Linked DNA regions of Caenorhabditis elegans. The protein of the gene in region 1 purifies or fractionates together with the protein of each later gene. This does not show direct contact. Each region holds a gene or a part of one and is shown in the gene's direction. Other genes may lie near its edges.

What was found.
Region 2: the proteins of saeg-2 (region 1) and egl-4 purify together in Caenorhabditis elegans (affinity purification with western blotting, with the first as the bait; one study listed by BioGRID). This does not show direct contact.
Region 3: the proteins of saeg-2 (region 1) and hda-2 purify together in Caenorhabditis elegans (affinity purification with western blotting, with the first as the bait; one study listed by BioGRID). This does not show direct contact.

Annotation. Positions count from the first base shown.
Region 1 is NC_003281.10:9,237,770-9,243,597, forward strand, and holds saeg-2 (Suppressor of activated egl-4 protein 2), read left to right. Parts: upstream 1-2,593; 5' UTR 2,594-2,652; coding exon 2,653-2,724; intron 2,725-2,915; coding exon 2,916-2,999; intron 3,000-3,045; coding exon 3,046-3,303; intron 3,304-3,533; coding exon 3,534-3,788; intron 3,789-3,837; coding exon 3,838-3,959; exon of another isoform or gene 3,960-4,024; intron 4,025-4,238; exon of another isoform or gene 4,239-4,300; coding exon 4,301-4,427; 3' UTR 4,428-4,745; downstream 4,746-5,828. Other genes in the region: dat-1 (Sodium-dependent dopamine transporter), read left to right, coding at 5,206-5,224, 5,601-5,719, 5,768-5,828. UniProt on the Caenorhabditis elegans protein: As a likely component of a histone deacetylase complex, together with saeg-1 and hda-2, functions downstream of the cAMP-dependent kinase egl-4 to regulate the expression of genes required for egg-laying and foraging.
Region 2 is NC_003282.8:1,845,413-1,851,896, forward strand, and holds the start of egl-4 (cGMP-dependent protein kinase), read left to right. Parts: upstream 1-2,658; coding exon 2,659-2,814; intron 2,815-4,252; coding exon of another isoform or gene 4,253-4,279; intron 4,280-6,484. Other genes in the region: ccm-2 (CCM (Cerebral Cavernous Malformation) gene homolog), read left to right, coding at 1,296-1,437, 1,508-1,566. UniProt on the Caenorhabditis elegans protein: Promotes chemoreceptor gene expression in response to increased cGMP levels by antagonizing the gene repression functions of the class II HDAC hda-4 and the mef-2 transcription factor.
Region 3 is NC_003280.10:8,019,724-8,025,473, reverse strand, and holds hda-2 (Putative histone deacetylase 2), read left to right. Parts: upstream 1-2,912; 5' UTR 2,913-2,927; coding exon 2,928-3,060; intron 3,061-3,104; coding exon 3,105-3,864; intron 3,865-3,925; coding exon 3,926-4,556; 3' UTR 4,557-4,694; downstream 4,695-5,750. Other genes in the region: SWI/SNF chromatin remodeling complex subunit swsn-7, read left to right, coding at 1-39, 113-281, 370-498, 877-1,658, 1,709-2,024, 2,073-2,201; Early embryogenesis protein zyg-11, read right to left, coding at 5,093-5,273, 5,331-5,669, 5,716-5,750. UniProt on the Caenorhabditis elegans protein: Probably responsible for the deacetylation of lysine residues on the N-terminal part of the core histones (H2A, H2B, H3 and H4).

The DNA of each region.
Region 1 (5,828 bases):
CAATACAACCCATCAGTCTATTTCTATCAGAGAGTGACCAACGTTACTGATAAATAGAATACGACTGTTTTGGCTTGAAAAGTCTGTTAGATTGTTTCAAATGAAGTGTCAAAAGAACCAATAAAGCATGGTCAGTGAGTGTTGATCGGCAAAAAATGGAGCTGAAGTGTAAGTAAACTTCAAAGTCATGTGGGTGTAAAAAAGAAGGAATTCGAATTTCAACGGACCGGAAAACATCGATATGTGCCATTTTCATTTTTTTTATTTCCTGGTTTTCGTTCAATTTTATGCTTTAGGCTGCTGAGTCCCACAAAAACACTTTTTTTGTAGAAAAGAATGCAACAATAATTTGTGCGAAGATTGCATGGAAGAAAGGAAAAAAAGCAACACAAAAAATAGAAGAGGAATGCAAGGCAGTTGCCGTCAACTTGACGGGCGGGAGGGAAAATGCAAGAACGACAGGGCAGGAGGGTCTTGAAATGGCACTTTGTGTATATATTAGAAACGGGGAATTCTGGAGGAGGAGAAGCACAAAATGAGCACAGGAAGGAAGGAGAGAACAGAGCAAGACGAGTCTTTCAAAGGAGAAGAGGGCCTAATTTCAATGAGCTGCGCTTGGTCAAAGACTTCTCGAAAATCAATGCAGACAGAGGGAAAGAGAGAGAGAGAGAGAGCGAGTGAAGAACAGGTGCTAGGCTTCATATCTAGAGCTGATAGTGTGAACTTATGTTTTCAGTGATGCATTTGAAAAATTCATACACAATTTCAGTTTTTTTTGAGTCTCTAAATTATTTTTTCCAGATTCTAACCAATATTTTAAATAAAACTGAGTTTTTCCACAATAATAATTAAAACACTACAGACCTCTACAGAAAACTACAATCAAGTGATCATAATAGGATCATGCTCCCCCACAAATTAGATGAACACAGAGCACAAAAATAAGAAAAACAGCTATCCAGACAGGCAGACATATCGGTCACACGAAGGGACAAAGAAGGGAAGAAAAGTATTCGTGAGCACAAACAACAACCCATCACTTTGTTTGTGCAAAATAAAGACCTAGTGAAACTGCTTCCACGAAAGCGACTGCCGTCTTGAATTGCGAAGGACCCACCCGCGGCGGTTCTCATTGTTTTTTGGAGCAACTAGAATTCGAAATGAACGGAACCGAAGATGAAAATAATAATTTGAAAAGATCGATGAGAAAGAGGGTTTTCCATCGCGGCTTTGAGACAGACAGCGATCATTGAAAATGGATATTTGTAGTGCAAACTCCTTGCGCGCCAACACAACAGCTAGCGTGGTGAACAAATCGGAGGAGTGTGTGAAATGTTTTGGAAATATTCAGAGACATATTGATGTTTATAAATTTGATTATTTCTCGAGCGCTAGAGAAAATCTTGATTTCAGAAATGATGCTGGTTGACACAAACGCCAAATGGCAACAGCTGAACTCTACTGGAAAAAAGCCTAGCTATGACGCAAATGGTTTTCAAGAATATCCAGGTACGCTTCGAGAGATATCACCATGGCATGCTCATATTATAGGTTAAGAACAAAGACGGCCTTTCTGAATATGACATGAGGAAGAGGAGGAGAAAATTTTATATACACTCAATAAATCAGATTTATACTAATTTAGTCCGTTCAAACTAAACATTTTTATTCTAGACAGCTTCACATCAGCAGATATAAGAAGTAAAAAATTTGAAACAATTTAAATAGGTATAATCAGAATCAATGTCTTGACTCACTATTACGCTAACATAGGAATTAAATATTACTCCGACGCAAAATTTCCGTAATTTTGCGTTAAAAATACGGTATCCGGTCTCGGCACGAAATATGTTGTTAAATACAAGAATGTGCGCGCCTTTAAAGAGTACCGTTCTTTTAGCGTAAGAAACGCAAGATTTCGAGTATGGACAATATCAAAACTGGATGACAAATTAAAGAATGATCGCTTTCGTTTTCGAAGAACAGATTTTTAAACTTTTTTCACAACTTTAATACTATTTGACAAAGATAGAATCGAAAATACGCAACACGGAAGAATATAACAAATGACACAAAAACAGAACCGTCGAACTGATTACTGTGTGATTGATTGGTTTAGTGCGAACAAGTGTTTGTCCAAATGTTCCAACCGGATCGCCGATTTGTCTCTTTCCTCTCACCACGAAATAGAAAAACAAACATTAGGTTTATCAAAACTGACCAATGTCTTTGATCTTATCAAGCTACTACTCTCAATCTACCACCTTCGGAGAAAAGTGAACATAGGAAATGGAAGAAGAGGGAGCATGGACATCATAACTAGTAGAGAAAAAAGCGAAACAAAAACCACAAACTCTGTGCGATGGGCAAAACCAACGGAGAAGTGAGTTGAGAGAAGGCAGGGAGAGCGTGTCAGGGAGAGAGTATGAGGAAAACATGCCGCCTGGAGAGTCGCAGAGAGTGCTGCGTCTTTTCTGCGTCTATCCAAAAGACGATAGTATTTTCCAGCCAGCTAGCATGACTGCCACTTTTATTTCCTCTTCTCTTTTTTCTACGTAGTCACCCATATACACTCAAATCTTAAAATTTAAATTTTCAGCACTGAAAATGTTCGAACGGCAAACTGGAAATGGGAATGGCAACAAAATGAATATGAGGATAGTGATTCTCGATGAATTGTTGAGCAGAGAAATGGATGGAAGCAACGATGGATCGTCAGCAAGAGTTAGTTCTTTTTAAAAATTGTGAACAGTGTTGGATGATGCATTATGACAATCAACTGATTTAATTTAAACATTGCCCTGCAAAAAGTGTGAATTTTAATCGAGTTTTTTGTGGAGGATGAAAAAGAGTTAAATTTTGCTAAAAAAGCAACAAAAAACTCACACCGGAAAAAGAAATTGGGAAAATTTCAGGTAAATTCATTGAAGCACGTGATAAAAAGGAACAAAATGGATATGGCAGACGATGCACCATCTTCGTTGGATCTAATGAGACGGGTATGGACTGTTAATGTTTCAAGTAATTAAAATGAAAATTATTCAGATTTTCCAAGCGGAAATATCGAGAGAAATCCATCAGATTATGGAGAGGCATACTAGAACAACGCTATTACCAGCTATCGAAAATCTCCGCAAAAATGGGCATGTTGTTGACGAATCAGTTTTGAATGGTTTGTACTGTAACATTTTGGAGGCTGCAAAGAAGCCATATCAAAAAGATCCGGAGCCTATGCCACCGATTTGTACAAATGGAAATGGGTTCCTTGATATCAACAGTCAAGAACATGAGAATAATTTAAAGGTAATTCAAATCTCAAATCGAATAAAGAATGAAAAACTATATTTTTCAATTCTAGAAAATATCTGGAAAATTTTCGCCGACTGTTTTCAAAAAAGGACCTTTCAAAACTATTTTAATAGATACAACGGAAGTAATTAAAGCAAATTTTGGCGACGATTTCAAAACTTTAATCACTACGGCGTGGTTAAAAAATACAAAACAAAGTATATCAAAAATGCTGATATTTTCAGAGAGGATACGAATCGGATAGCTCAGACGTGTCTGGAGTCAGCCACTGCTCCGATGCTAAAAGACGACGAGGTCGTCCACGTAAAGATGAAGAAGCATATCGACTAGAAATGACGCCACCGACAATGAACGAAGTCATTCGGTGGAATCCGGACAGAATCGATGTGAACACCCGTTTTATAACGGCGACAAAAATTGCGCAAGTGATGGGAATGCCCCCGTCGATTCTGTTCAACAAGTATCCACGAATGTTTAGAGTAAGTAACTGGAAATCGGCAATTTTCAAAAACTGTTCTACCGTTTTAGTATTCCTGCGATGAAGATGACAAAAATATTCTACATGAGCAAAATCTTCTCATCAGGGCACCCGGTAGATGCTATCTTCTGGTTGCAGAAGATGCTCGTCAGCTAGTTCCCTCCACTTACTTGTAAGTTTTTTCTACAAATTTAAAAGAGAAAACCAAAGAAAAATATAAAGGAAATGATTATCCTACTCCAACAAAACTCTCCGAAAAATAATTATTGCTCTAAATCGCATCGCGCTTCGCCGAGCAGCACTTCCCTCACCTACCGATCAAAAATAACAGATTACAACGAAACAGGTAGAAAAGAAGTAGAAAATATCTAGAAATGAGAGAAAAATTGGTTGATAATAAAAAAAAGTCCGTAAAAAGATAGCAATTAAAATTAGAGCGATTGTCCACGAGAAAATTGTGAGAATATTCAGAGAGTTCTATAAATTTTTGAAAATTTAGCATTTTTATTTCAGCCAAGATGTCCTCAACGTCTCATTCCTCATCTCCGAGCCACTGCTATCAAAAATTCGCCAAAAAGCGGCATCAACCTACGAGAAGTACAAAGTCTTTCTGCCCACACAACCGAATAATTATCTCTGAAATGTTTCTAGTCGTTTTTGTATTTTAAAGCACATTCCCAATTCTGAATACTTTTCTGAAATCCATGAAATGGAACTTGAATCCAGTTTTCACTAAAACGACCTCATACACTTTCTCTCGTATCCTCAAAATATCTATGACATTATCATTAGCTTCGCTAGTTTCATTTCTTTCAAATATTATGCATTCTTAAATTCCGATACCCGCGTGCAAAAGTGCTCTATTGAGCAACTTTGGGATCATATGTACACACCAATGCCCTTTTCCCAAATCTTTTCCTGTCCTTTTCTCTAAAAACAATAAATCCATGCCTATTCCAGTATGACCCCTTTGAAGCAGATATAATCGCACAAACATATACACATAGCTCGGATAAATGTAGAAAAAGAAGAAAAGAAGTATAAGTAGATAGATGCTTTCCGGCAATTATCCACCGCACCGTAGTCTTCACCAACTGAGACTGCGTCGTTAGGAGACGCCGACATGATTCAGAAGCAGAATTTGGAAGAAAAACGACGATGATATTGAGGCTGGCACACATACACCGGAATATTCGACATGCCACCACATCTAGATTCCAAGGCAATCTCTACCTCTTCCCATTCTTTCGGTTTTTTTGTTCTGACAAGAAAAGTGGATAGCTACGGGCTCAATGAGCTGATTTTATTTTTAAATATCTTAAAACTATACTAGATTCATGTGTTTTCAGGTCCATATTCCAAATTAGTCGAAAAGCTGATCCCGCTACGGTTTACTCGAATCTCAACAATTTTTAGCCATGCAGTTGGTGCCTACAGGTATTTCGTTTTTTGCCCGACTCTTATTTATCTGTAGACTTTCGTTATAAAACAAAGCTATCTTTCTGAAATTGTTATTACGTAGACGCCTCAAGATGAGAATCTTCGCCAAATCTTACGCACATGGGTCTCGCCACGCAAACAAAGAATATGATACAATAGCGGTCTGCAAATTGACATGAGTTACAGTAATTCGTTCTCCGCGTGGCGAGACCCGCGGCTAAAGTTCTCATCCTTAGAGACCAACGTAACACTCTGGGTATAGTATAACTTACCATTAAAATTTTTTTTTAAGTTTTATAATTCTTCACAGGGTTTAACATTAGATTAAAAATTAGTCGGTGACTTCTAACTAAAGTTAAAATCAAATCTTCAGACGATCCCGACGAAAAAATCGGTCGGACGTCTAATGGCATGCAAAATGCAACTCTTCCTATTGATGGACCAGTTAATACAGAACCCAAAGATCCAGCAAGAGAACAGTGGTCTGGAAAGGTAAGATCCATCTTGCCTGTAATTCTACATATGAACCCATCTTTTCAGCTGGACTTCCTTCTCTCAGTTGTCGGGTTTGCTGTAGATTTGGGAAATATATGGCGATTTC
Region 2 (6,484 bases), on another chromosome or scaffold:
CCCACAAACCCCGTTTTTTTTGTAAACTTTCCCCAGAGAAACTGCATGTTTACTGTGTAAAAATTCGGGTTTTTTTTTTCAAATTTTTGGGTTGATCCGCCATGTTTTATGGGTTCCGAGCTGCCTAGCTTTCTTGTGAACGTGGCCTAGTTTTCAGAAACTCGGCCACGCAGAAAATCGAAAACATGGTGCATCGATGGTGAAAAAAACTTGATTTTTTGCCCCAATTACCACGTGGTGTCAGAGTGTCTCATTTCGGCTTGATCTACGTTGATCTACAAAAAATGCGGCAGAGTTCTCAACTGATTTCGTATGGATAAGAAGGTGCCGACGTCACAATTTTTCGGTGAAAAAATTCCCGCATTTTTTGTAGATCAAAACGTAATACGTTTTGATCTACAAAATTAATGGGACAGCCTGGCACCACGTGCAATTGTTCTAAAGTTCCCCAAAACGTCGATGCATCATATTTCTGATAATAAAATTCTACCATTTTAAACTGATTTGCCCAACAAAATGCCCCAAAATCCCTTAAAAATTTTACAATTTTTGCCCTCTGACGTCATTCTAAAAAGTTTATTTATTGGGAAATTGCTTGGTTTATTTTTAGTTTTTTCTCCTTGAAATCCAAAAAAAATCTGACATTTTCAAGAGCACCGCATTCAAAATTAATGGGAGTTTCTTTTCTTTTTTTTTTTTTGAAAAACATTTCGTATAGAAATGATGAATTTTAAAGAAGAAAAGAAATTTTTTTTTCGAAATGTGAATTATCAAACAGAAAACTGAAGTTATGTTAAGTCAGATTTTTTAAAGTCCAAACTAAGAAAATTCGAAAAATTCTGGGATTTCTTTTGCTGAAGATTCCGCAAAAAAAAACCGAACATTTTCATGTTTCCCTACAAGCTTGTGGTTTTATAGCATTTTTTACAAAAATTGTGTTCTAAAAATCTCCCTTTTTGGCTTTTTTTCGCTGAAAATTTGAAATATTCGACTTTTGCCGTCAAAAACCGGTAAAAATCAATTTTCACATAATTTTTCTGTTGCAAAATATTTAATTTTATTTTAATTTTATTTCTCAATTTTTCTCCTAAAATTCAGTTTTATTGTTGGAATTCATGGAGTTTTTGCCTGAAAATGAGAGTTTAAAAATATATTATTTTCACACATGTCGTAAGATTCTGCGCTCGATCCGCATTTTTCTCCATCCGTGTTTGCGTACTTTCGTCACACGCGAGTTTAATGAAATTTAAATCGAAATTTATCAATTTTCTCATCATTTTTTCCTTTTTTTTCAGGTTCTCTCTTGTCTCCGCCCCGAAGAAGTTCCACATTTTCGCGAAATTATCAAGAAATACAATAGCGGCGAGCAAAATGTGAAGATTTTCGCGCAAAAGCTCGTCGAACTGCTCGGCCCCGGACGAAAAAAGCGTCTTTCATGTGAGTTTCTACAACACTCCCCTCTTTTCTTTTCTTCGAATTCAATGCAATTTCCTGTGCCAATTTGCAGACCTGAAACATGCGTTGAGAGCCGGCGACATGCTCCAATTCGACTCGGCGATTCTTTGAAATACGCGGGTCGTCAAAATGCGGGTGAGTGTCTTCGTCGTGAAATTGCAATTTTTCTTTTTTTTTTAAAGAATTTTTATCGTAGAAAATTCTGTTTATTTATTATTTAATTTTGCAGGGAGATGCTGATGAAGATGTGGCGGAGACGGATGGATTTCGATTGGATTTTTTCTTTTTTTTACATTTTTTTTCAAATTTTCTCCTCTAAAAGTCGGTTTTTCTGTGAAAACTACCCGCAAAATCTGAGAATTTCGCGTTTTTTTTCTGAAAAATTGCGTGAAAAACCACAATCCACTTGGATTAAGCTGAAAAATCGGCAATTTTGTATATTTTGTCAGGATTTTGATTTAAAAATCGAATTTCTTGTGAAAAATTTGCTTTTTCGGTGAAAGTCGGTTTTTCTTGAAATTTTGCACGAGGTTTCTCCTGAAAATTGGCTTTTCTTAGATTTTTTTTCATAAAATTCCCGGAAAATTTGTGGTTTACTCAAAAAATGCCCCGTTTTTCCAATTTTTTCCTGTAAATTTGGTGGTTAAAAAATGACGAATTTTTTGCATTTTGTGGAAAATATTTGTTCGGAAAAATCACAAAAATTCTCGAATTTCGTGTAAAAATATAGAGAAAAACGACATTTTTTCCGCTGAAAATTGAGTTGTCTTAGATTTTTCTGATATAATTCCCTGAAAATTAGTGGTTTTCTCAAAAAAAAATGCACCGAATTTTTTAAAAAATTCCACGTAAACATGCGCAGAAAATTCCTTTTTTTTCTGAAAATTTGAGCAAAAATTGCCGAATTTTCTTCAAAAATGATGTTTTTTTCGCAAAAACTCAAATTTCGTGTGAACATTTTCGGAAATTTATCGAAAAAACTGCATTTTTTCGCTGAAAATTTGAATTTCCTCTCGATTTCTCTCTCACTTTTCCGCATTTTTTTCCGTTTTTTCCTCCCCGCTCCGCTCAAAAAAATCAATAAATAAATACTTTTACAGATCAAAAGGTGATACCTCCGACGCCCGCCATCCACCACATCCACTCACAATCCGAAAATTAATCGATAAAACAATAAAGCGACCAGCGGAAAATCAACTGGAAATGAGCTCTGGGAGCCGTCCGTCGAGCGGCGGTGGTGGTGGTGGCGGAGGAGCCAGTGGTGGAGCCGGTGGTGGTGCTCCAGGTGGTGGTGGAGGTGGAATCCGTGGATTCTTCTCCAAACTTCGTAAGCCGTCTGATCAGCCGAATGGGAATCAGGTTAGAGTTTTGTGGGAGGTTTTTTTGCAGGAAAAATCGCTGAAAAATGATTAAAATTTACCTTTGTGTAGATTTACGGGGATTTTGGGGGAAAATATGCGGGAAAATGGGCAAAAATGATATAATTTTGATAAATTTGGCCTAAAAATCCCGAGTTATTCGGTCATAATGTGCTCAGGACTTTGTAAAGACCTATGTGGATTTACGGGGGTTCAGTGTCGATTTACGAGACTGTAATGTCGATTTACGGGGGTTCAGTGTCGATTTACAAGACTGTAATGTGGATTTACGGGGGTTCAGTGTCGATTTACGAGACTGTAATGTCGATTTACGGGGGTTCAGTGTCGATTTACGAGACTGTAATGTCGATTTACGGGGGTTCAGTGTCGATTTACGAGACTGTAATGTCGATTTACGGGAGTTCAGTGTCGATTTACGAGGGCTGTAATGTCGATTTACGGGGGTTCGGTGTCGATTTACGAGACTGTAATGTCGATTTACGGGAGTTCAGTGTCGATTTACGAGGGCTGTAATGTCGATTTACGAGGCTTTAATGTCGATTTACAGGGGTTCAGTGTCGATTTACGGGATAACATTTTCCGAAATTTTACTGAAATTCGACTAGTTTTGGAATGAAATCCTTCAATTTTGCAAAATCTTTCCAGGATTATTTGGTGTTTTCCGCAGCTCCGTGTATATTTACGGGGGCCTGTGTCGATTTACGAGAGTTTTTTTTCAATTTGGCGAACTCAACATTTGATTTGAGTTTATACCATAAATGCAGTTTTCTAAATTGAAAATTTCAAAAATCTGTGTAGATTTACTGATGCCTATGTCGACTTACGGGCGAAACTTTTGGTGATTTTCACCAATTTCAGCCAGATTTTCAAAATTTTCAGGTTTTTTGTGCACAGAAATGGTATCAACTTTGACATTTTTTACACATTTCCGGTTGAAATCCTCGGATTTTTGCTAGATTTTGTCTGAACTTCTAGATTTTCGTGACCAGAGATCATTGTCACTTTGTGTGGATTTACGGAGGAGCCGATTGTCGATTTTCTGGATTTTCTGCGGTTTTTCCGGGGTTTTTGGTGCTCCAAATGGAAAATTCTTCCGAATTATTGCCTAGACTCTTCCGACTATTCTGCTGGTTGTTCCGAGTTTTTCAACACATATTTTTCCAATTTCCCGCTCCGGAGCTCTCCGCCAATTCTGCTGCTCGGCTCTCTCCACAGGACGCCTGCAATACGACACCAACTGTTGTTTGATGGCTCCATGGGGGTCGCGTAATGATCATGTTCATGTCGACTTGACGAAATTCCTCTTATCACAACAAATTGAGCCTGGTGATAGCAGACCTGGTGGTGAAGAGTTTTCCGTATTTCTAGTCCTATATTCCGTGCTGAAATGTGTGGAAGTGTCTGAGTATGAAAAGATGATGAAGCAGCAGCCACCCAGGATTTATGTGAGTTTTTGGCGGACCGAAAACTTGGAGAATTGGAATTTGATTGGCATTTTTTCGCCTTAAAATGCGACCTAGTGGGGGCTAAATCCCAGATTACGGTAGAAATTTCAGAAGTTCAGCTCTAAAATTAGAAAAATCATCGACATTTGAGCAAGACATCAGGATTACCGAAAATCTGAAATTTTTAGGCGAAAGCTTGGATTTCCGATGGCTTTTCAGTTTTTAAAATTGACAATTTCAATAGTCTAATAATGGATTTTTCCTCGAAATTTCGCCCAGAATCACGGAAGAAAATCGATTCTCATCTGAAAATTCGAATTTCGCCTTCACCGCATACGCGCCCCACTGAGAAAGTTAGGCATTTTTTCTCATTGGAGCGTGTTTGCTACTAAATCCACGTAGATTTTTCTATTTTCCGACAAAAAAATAACTGCAAATTGATCGATTGATCTGAAAATTGATATATTTTTTTATGAAAAAAAAAAAGTAATTCTCTTATCAATCCCTATCGGCCGAACTGACGTCATGTTGTTCCCCACAGCTCAAAGCTTTCGAAACAGTGAAAACTCGGCCATTACTAAAAATGCCAAAATTCGCAAAAATTCGAAATTTTGGCAGAAAAAGGCGGCGGCCACGAGCCGAAAAATCTCGGCCACTTCACGGAGTTTATAGAATAACCGAACAATTTCTTTTGCTTTTCGGTTTACACCTGCTTCCCGGTGAAAAGTCTAGAAAAATTTGAGCTTTCTGAATAGAAAATACATCTAAATTGCCATTTTTTTCCTGTTAAAGATCGCAGAAATTCAATTTTTCCGATATTTTGGCAGAAAAAGGATGAGATTTGACCCAATCTTCCTATAAATTGTTACTTTTTCCCATAGCTCAAAGATTTCCGAACAGTGAAAACTCGACCATCACGTGGTGCCAGGTGTGTCCCATGTCGGTTTGATCTACGTTGATCTACCAGAATGCGCGGGAAATTGGACGCAGACTTTTCAACTTATTTTGCATGGCTAAGAACATGCGGACGTCACATTTTTTAGGCCAAAAAATCCCGCATTTTTGTAGGTCAAACCGTTATGGGAAAGTCTGGACCATACCGATTTGTTCCTCGGTTTTTCACGTGCTCGTGGTGTCAAAAAATTCCAGCTTCCCAGACCACGTCTCACCTGGAAAATTGATCGATTTACGATTTTTCAGAGTCGAAATTCGCAAAAATTCAATTTTTCGAAATTTTGGCACACAAAATTTCTGAAAATTGAACAATTGATCAGAAAAAAATTCGATAGTTCTTCTTATCAATTTTCTCAATGGTATTTTCTTCCTGGTGAACTCTTCCTTATGCACAAGTGTACGTGCTCTTGTGCAATTGTGCATTGCACAAAAAACGGGTGAGCCCATGCCGATAGGGACGACCGACGCTAATAGGATTTTCCTCCCGTCGTCGGGCCGTTTTTCTCATTTTTTACAAGCCAGTTTCATTTTTTTATGCCCAAAAAAAAAAGTTTTACTTCATTTTTTTTTATTTCAAGGCCCCACCACCCCTCGTCGTCATCACTATTTTTGGACGTTTTGCATTAAAAATATGTGCGCCCTCCCATTTTGCCAATTTACTTTTTTTTAATCACCTGCCTGCCTGCCCCGGCTGTGTGTCAACAACACACAGAGAGAAACACAATTTTTGAAAAAATACAACTTTTTTTTGTTGTTTTTGATCTCTGTCGCCCAACGAAATTGAGTGAAAGACTTGATTACCTATTTTCTAAGAAAATTGAATTCCCGCCCTGGGGAGACACACACACACAGGAAGCACATTTTTTCTGCAATTTTCCAAGAAAAATCTGAAAACTTGTTGAAAAATGAGAATTTCCCACGATCACATGCATCAAACGCGCCCTAATGAGAAAAGTATTCAATTTTCTCACTGGGGCGCGTTTGCAATATGCGATCGGCGGGACATTTGAATTTTTTTTGTGTGCGGACACTTAATTTTATGCACTTTTTGTTTACTTATTTTCCTGTCCTTGAAGCCCTTTTTCTGCAATTTTTCAAATAAATTTCCACTAGAAATATTTTTTGCTCCGCAAACGCGCTCTAATGAGAAAAAAAGCGAATTTTCTCACTGGGGCTCGTTTTCTGAATGTTATCAGTTTTTTACCATTTTTCGAGACGAAAAATCTAGATTTCTACGAAAATGTACGTGGC
Region 3 (5,750 bases), on another chromosome or scaffold:
CAAAGAAGAAAATGGCGTCTTGATTAATGGGCACGCTGTGTAAGTTTATAAATATTTGAATCATAATTGAAAGATAATTGTCAAAAAATCTAATTAAAGCGATAATTTTCAGACAAGAATCTGGCGCTGAACGAATTATCAAAACCGAGCCAATCAGAACAGACGAGCCGTCCGTGTTAATTGAATCACAGGAGCAAAGTGTTCCGAAAAAACAAAATGATATAAATGGAGAAGAAACCGATGAAGTGGAGCTGAATTCAAAAATAGTGACCCCAGAGAAGGTAATTTTTATTTTCTAAATTCTCGAATTGCATGGGGTTTTCGCATGAAACAATCTTCTAATTTTATATGCTTCTCTGTTTCCTTTAGAAATCTATCACCAATGGAACCGTGGAAGTGTGCCAAGAACCAATCCAAGCTTCAAAGCTGTTCGATGAAAATTACGCTAATCAGATTGAAGGAAGCGAAGTGTCGATCGAGATTCGCGAGCAGTTTGTGGTGTGTCATTGTTTTGTTCTTCTTAATTTAATAATTTTCTGTCCATATTTTTGTTTAAATTTTGTTTTCAAAGTTGATTTATTACCCATACGCGAGATTTTACGCAAAAAATAAGATACCTGGTCTCGACGCGACACATTTATGTTAAAGGCGAAAAGGTGTGCGCTTTTAAAGATTACTGTAATTTCAAAGTTTTGTTGCTGCGGAATTTTCGTTGATTTTTCATGGCTTTGAAACTTGGAAAAGTAGAAGAAAATTCCGCAACAACAAAAATTTGAAATTACAGTAATCATTGAAGGAACATATACCAGGTACCGTATTTTTGGGGCAAACTTTCCATTCTCCATCTATAATTGCCTTGAAATTTCAATTTTTCAGAATGACACGGATAATGTTAAATTGGAATCGGAGAAAATCAACGGAATCATCTGCAATGGTAACTCGAAAGTGAAAAAAGAGTCAATGGCAAGCAGAGCTGCTCATATTGTTGCTGTAGCAGCTGCCTGCAACGGAGATTTAGAGAGAATGAACGTGGTTAGCAATGGAAATGATATCGAGAAGGAAATCGAGAAAGAAACAGAAAAGGTAGAAGAAGAAACAAATGAAGAAAAAAACAAAGAAGTGGTTGAAACGGAGGTTGTGGATGATGCCCAAGAATCAGAAAAACGAAAATGTGTTCCTCCATCTTCGAATCCTACCGATTATATGTGTGATTGGGATTGTTGTTCCATTTATTATGCTTCTCCATCACACGTGCTCAAACATTTGTCGGAAGAGCACGTCGCAGAGGAGCTAAGATTACTGTGTCGCTGGAACGGATGTGCTGATCCAACACCTCGTAATCGTTGGTCACTGATTACTCATATCCAGGATTCGCACTGTAATGAAGCTCAATTAAAAGCGGCTTCACAAAAAAGAAAGGAAGGTGGTGGAATTGCTCCAGTTCGTGGAGCACCGCGTGCTGAAGTTATCTCCCGTGATATCAATAATCATCCTGGTTACGCGAAAAATGCCGCGTTCGATGCCATCCGAAGACACGCTTTCAATTTCTTGTCTCGAGAACTCACGGATGAAGCAGAAGGACCAGTGACAAAGAGTATTCGTCTAACATCCTGTCTTATTTTGAGAAATCTTGCAAGATATTCAGCTGAAGGACGACAGTGAGAATTTCTTTCAATCTATATTTATTTATGAACTCCAAATTTTTCAGAAAACTCCGACGGCACGAATCACACATTTGCTGGCTGGCTCTATCTCGATTGGAAAGTGCACATGCTCTCTCACAACTTCTTTCTGAACTACATCAAGCTCCTGCTGCAGAAGAAGAACAACAAAAAATGCTTTCGGAGGTTCCGTCATCAGCATCTCTATCATCAATGGCTGGAAGCTCTTCACAATTGCCAACAGTACCTGACTCACCAACTTCTTCTGTAGCATCAGCTCCGATGAAAGAGTCGACCTCTGTTAGCAATAAACCGACAGTTCACATTAATAGAATGCTCAATTTCTCGTCACTTAACGAAAAGGTAAAAAAAATGATTTCGTATTTCACAAATGTACAATTCTGATTTCAGACACCAACAAGTCCGCAATTCACAGCTGGATCTAGCCCCCACCGTCATCAGCCAATTCAACAACACATTCCCAGCCAGCCATCTCCTCTCGTGCAGACTACTCCAGTTCGTGCTGGAGCTGGAATCTAACTACTTTTCAAACATAATCGTTTTCTTCTTGTTATCATTGTTTTTCATCCTTGTGCCCTTCTCCTCTTATTTGTTTCACTTTTTTGTGTCTACATTCATCCAAACGATCGTAGCGGGCAATGCCACCGGTCTTATATTTTTCAATACTTTGTACCATAAACAGAACTGCTGATTATTTTCAGAAAATAGTTCCAAATTCCAAAAATTTCCAATCAATTTACAACTTTAATCTACATTCTCTTCAAAATTTAATGGTGAAAATCGGAACATAAACGGGTCGTTCCTTTCCTCTCTCTCTCCATCCTATCTCCAACTCCGTTTTTTATTCCGTCTCACCAATTCATAACCTTTTTGTATTTAATATATTCCAACGCGGTTGTCTTTACCTTCAAGAAACTGAAAAGATCTTCCACATCACCCTCCCTTTTCCCCATCATTTATCACTTGTCGTTCAAAACTCTAATTTCGTATTCTGCACCAAACAAGTGGCTATGTACGTTTTTCATCTTGAAATTCGTTTTTTTTTGTCAAATCAGTCTACATTTCTTTTCCCATGTATTACTGAACTACAAACGCAACTTTCAAACTCTTTTCAATATAATGAACTATTCATACTCATTGATTAAATAATCAGCATCTAAGTTTTTTGTCTTTATATCATACTTTATGCAACGATCAACATTCGACAGTGAAATAACAAAAGTTGTTCAGAAAATTGGCAAAAATATGTCATCAGACAAGTTCAAACTAGATACACTGTTCGATGATAATGATGAGATAATCGAGCCAGATGGAGCTGATGTTAAAAAAAGAAATGTTGCATATTATTATCATAAAGACGTCGGACATTTTCATTATGGTATTTATTTGAATCTGAAATAGGCAAAATGTTTTACTTTTCAGGCCAACTTCATCCAATGAAACCTCAACGGCTTGTGGTGTGCAACGATTTAGTAGTTTCCTATGAAATGCCAAAATATATGACAGTTGTTGAATCACCAAAGTTAGATGCTGCAGATATTTCTGTATTTCACACTGAAGATTACGTCAACTTTCTGCAAACAGTGACACCGAAGCTCGGTCTTACAATGCCTGATGACGTTTTGAGGCAGTTTAACATTGGAGAGGATTGTCCAATTTTCGCTGGACTTTGGGATTACTGTACTTTGTATGCTGGTGGATCTGTTGAAGGTGCTCGACGATTGAATCATAAAATGAATGATATTGTGATTAATTGGCCTGGAGGACTTCATCACGCCAAGAAATCAGAAGCTTCAGGATTTTGCTATGTAAACGACATTGTGCTGGGAATTTTGGAGTTATTGAAATATCACAAACGAGTATTGTATATCGACATTGACATTCATCATGGTGATGGTGTTCAGGAAGCATTCAATAATTCTGATCGAGTTATGACTGTGTCATTTCATCGTTTTGGTCAATATTTCCCAGGATCTGGAAGTATTATGGACAAAGGTGTCGGTCCCGGAAAGTATTTTGCGATTAATGTTCCCCTGATGGCTGCAATTCGAGATGAACCTTACTTAAAATTATTCGAGAGTGTTATAAGTGGCGTTGAAGAAAATTTTAATCCTGAGGCAATTGTTCTTCAATGTGGTTCCGATTCATTGTGTGAAGACAGACTTGGTCAATTTGCTTTGTCGTAAGTTTTAAAATTACTTTTTTGCAATCTAAATATTTTAATTAAATCTAAACATATTAAGATTCAATGCACATGCACGCGCAGTCAAATACGTGAAAAGTCTTGGAAAACCATTGATGGTCCTTGGTGGTGGTGGATATACACTTAGAAATGTTGCGAGATGCTGGGCCCTTGAAACTGGAGTCATTTTAGGTCTTCGAATGGACGATGAAATCCCTGGAACATCATTATACTCGCACTATTTCACTCCACGACTTCTTCGCCCAAATTTGGTTCCAAAAATGAATGATGCTAATTCTGCGGCATATTTGGCTTCTATTGAAAAAGAAACGCTGGCATGTTTGAGAATGATTCGTGGAGCACCATCAGTTCAAATGCAAAATATTGTTGGAATCAGGCTCGACGAAATTGAGCAAATCGAAGAAAATGAACGACTACAAAAATCATCAAAATCTTCAATTGAATATGAAGTTGGAAAAGTATCAGAGAAAATGGAAGAAGAATGCTTTGTAGAAGAAGACTCAAAACCTCCATCATTTCCACCGGGTCAAGATCCTCGTCGGATTGGTCAGTACTGGGGATATGACAGGTCTGGATTGGCTCCACCGAGAAGTCACTCGGATGTTATTGAAGAAGCAAAATATGAAGATCGCGACAGACGAAAAGATCTCAATATTCCCGGAATTCCGTAACTTTCCATGTAATTAATGATTAAACACTGTGATGAATTTGTCAAAAATCTTTTCTGTGTTGGTTTTCAGTATTTCCGATTTTATATTGTTTTCTGTTGCATGATCTCTAAATTTCTCAAGTAATAAACCAAATTTCAGAGCTTCAACGTTTTCATTCACAATAGAATCTGAAAATATACAACTATTTCAAACATAAAGGAGGAAATGGTACTCCCGAAAAAATACCCGCGAAAGAAAGTGGGACGAGCAAATTTGTGAGTAGGGATGGGTACAGAAAAAGAAATGGAAACAACCGATGAAATATCCACAGAAGTAATCACATTCACAGTTCAACATATTACAGGGAGAAGTGAAAAATAGTGAAACCAAACATCTAATTTAGTTTTTAATGCAATCTAATTGCTATGGGTGAAACGGATAAAAATATCAACCCGTATAAATATAACTTGTTTCAATTTGATATACCTGTAGATGGGGACTTTGAAAATGGGAAAGCTAAACAAAAATAATAATAAAAAAAATAAACAAAAAAATGACTAAACTCGACGGACTAATCGAACTGGGCTGGAAGATAGTGAATGGCATGAGACAATGTCAATGATTTCTCGTGCGAGATGAACCACACGAATATCCAGATTGTGAATGTGTTTCGAGTGTCCATGGGACATATCCTCGACGATTGGAGAAAGCCCGGAATCCATAAACATTTCGATGTATCTGAAAATGTTTTGAAATGATTTTTGAAATTAAGAAAAAAGTAAATCAAAAACGTACCCTTTCTCATACGTAGGCGCTTTGTTCTTCTCGCGATGTTGAAGAACGTGATGAACTCCCCACAAACACCACATGATGGCCCCATTCGAATTTGACTCTCTAACAATACGACTGAATGGAATGAAAGATTTGTAGGAGACCATTGCCGATGGAAGTGTGGGATACTGCTCAATAAGCTCCAAGAGCTTTTCGCAAGCTTCGTCACGTTGATTTTCACTCTCCCAACCATCAGTGTTGGTCAGAAGATTAGCGAGAATTCCAGCAGCGAAATAAGATCGTTCAACTTCACGATACCGTCCTTTCGAATCTACTTCGTTGAATGATCCGTCAAGACAAGAACTGAAAAAAATTGGTTAAATTGAATTCAACGAATTAAAAAACATACATAAGAACAGAAATATACTCGTTTTTGCAAAGCTG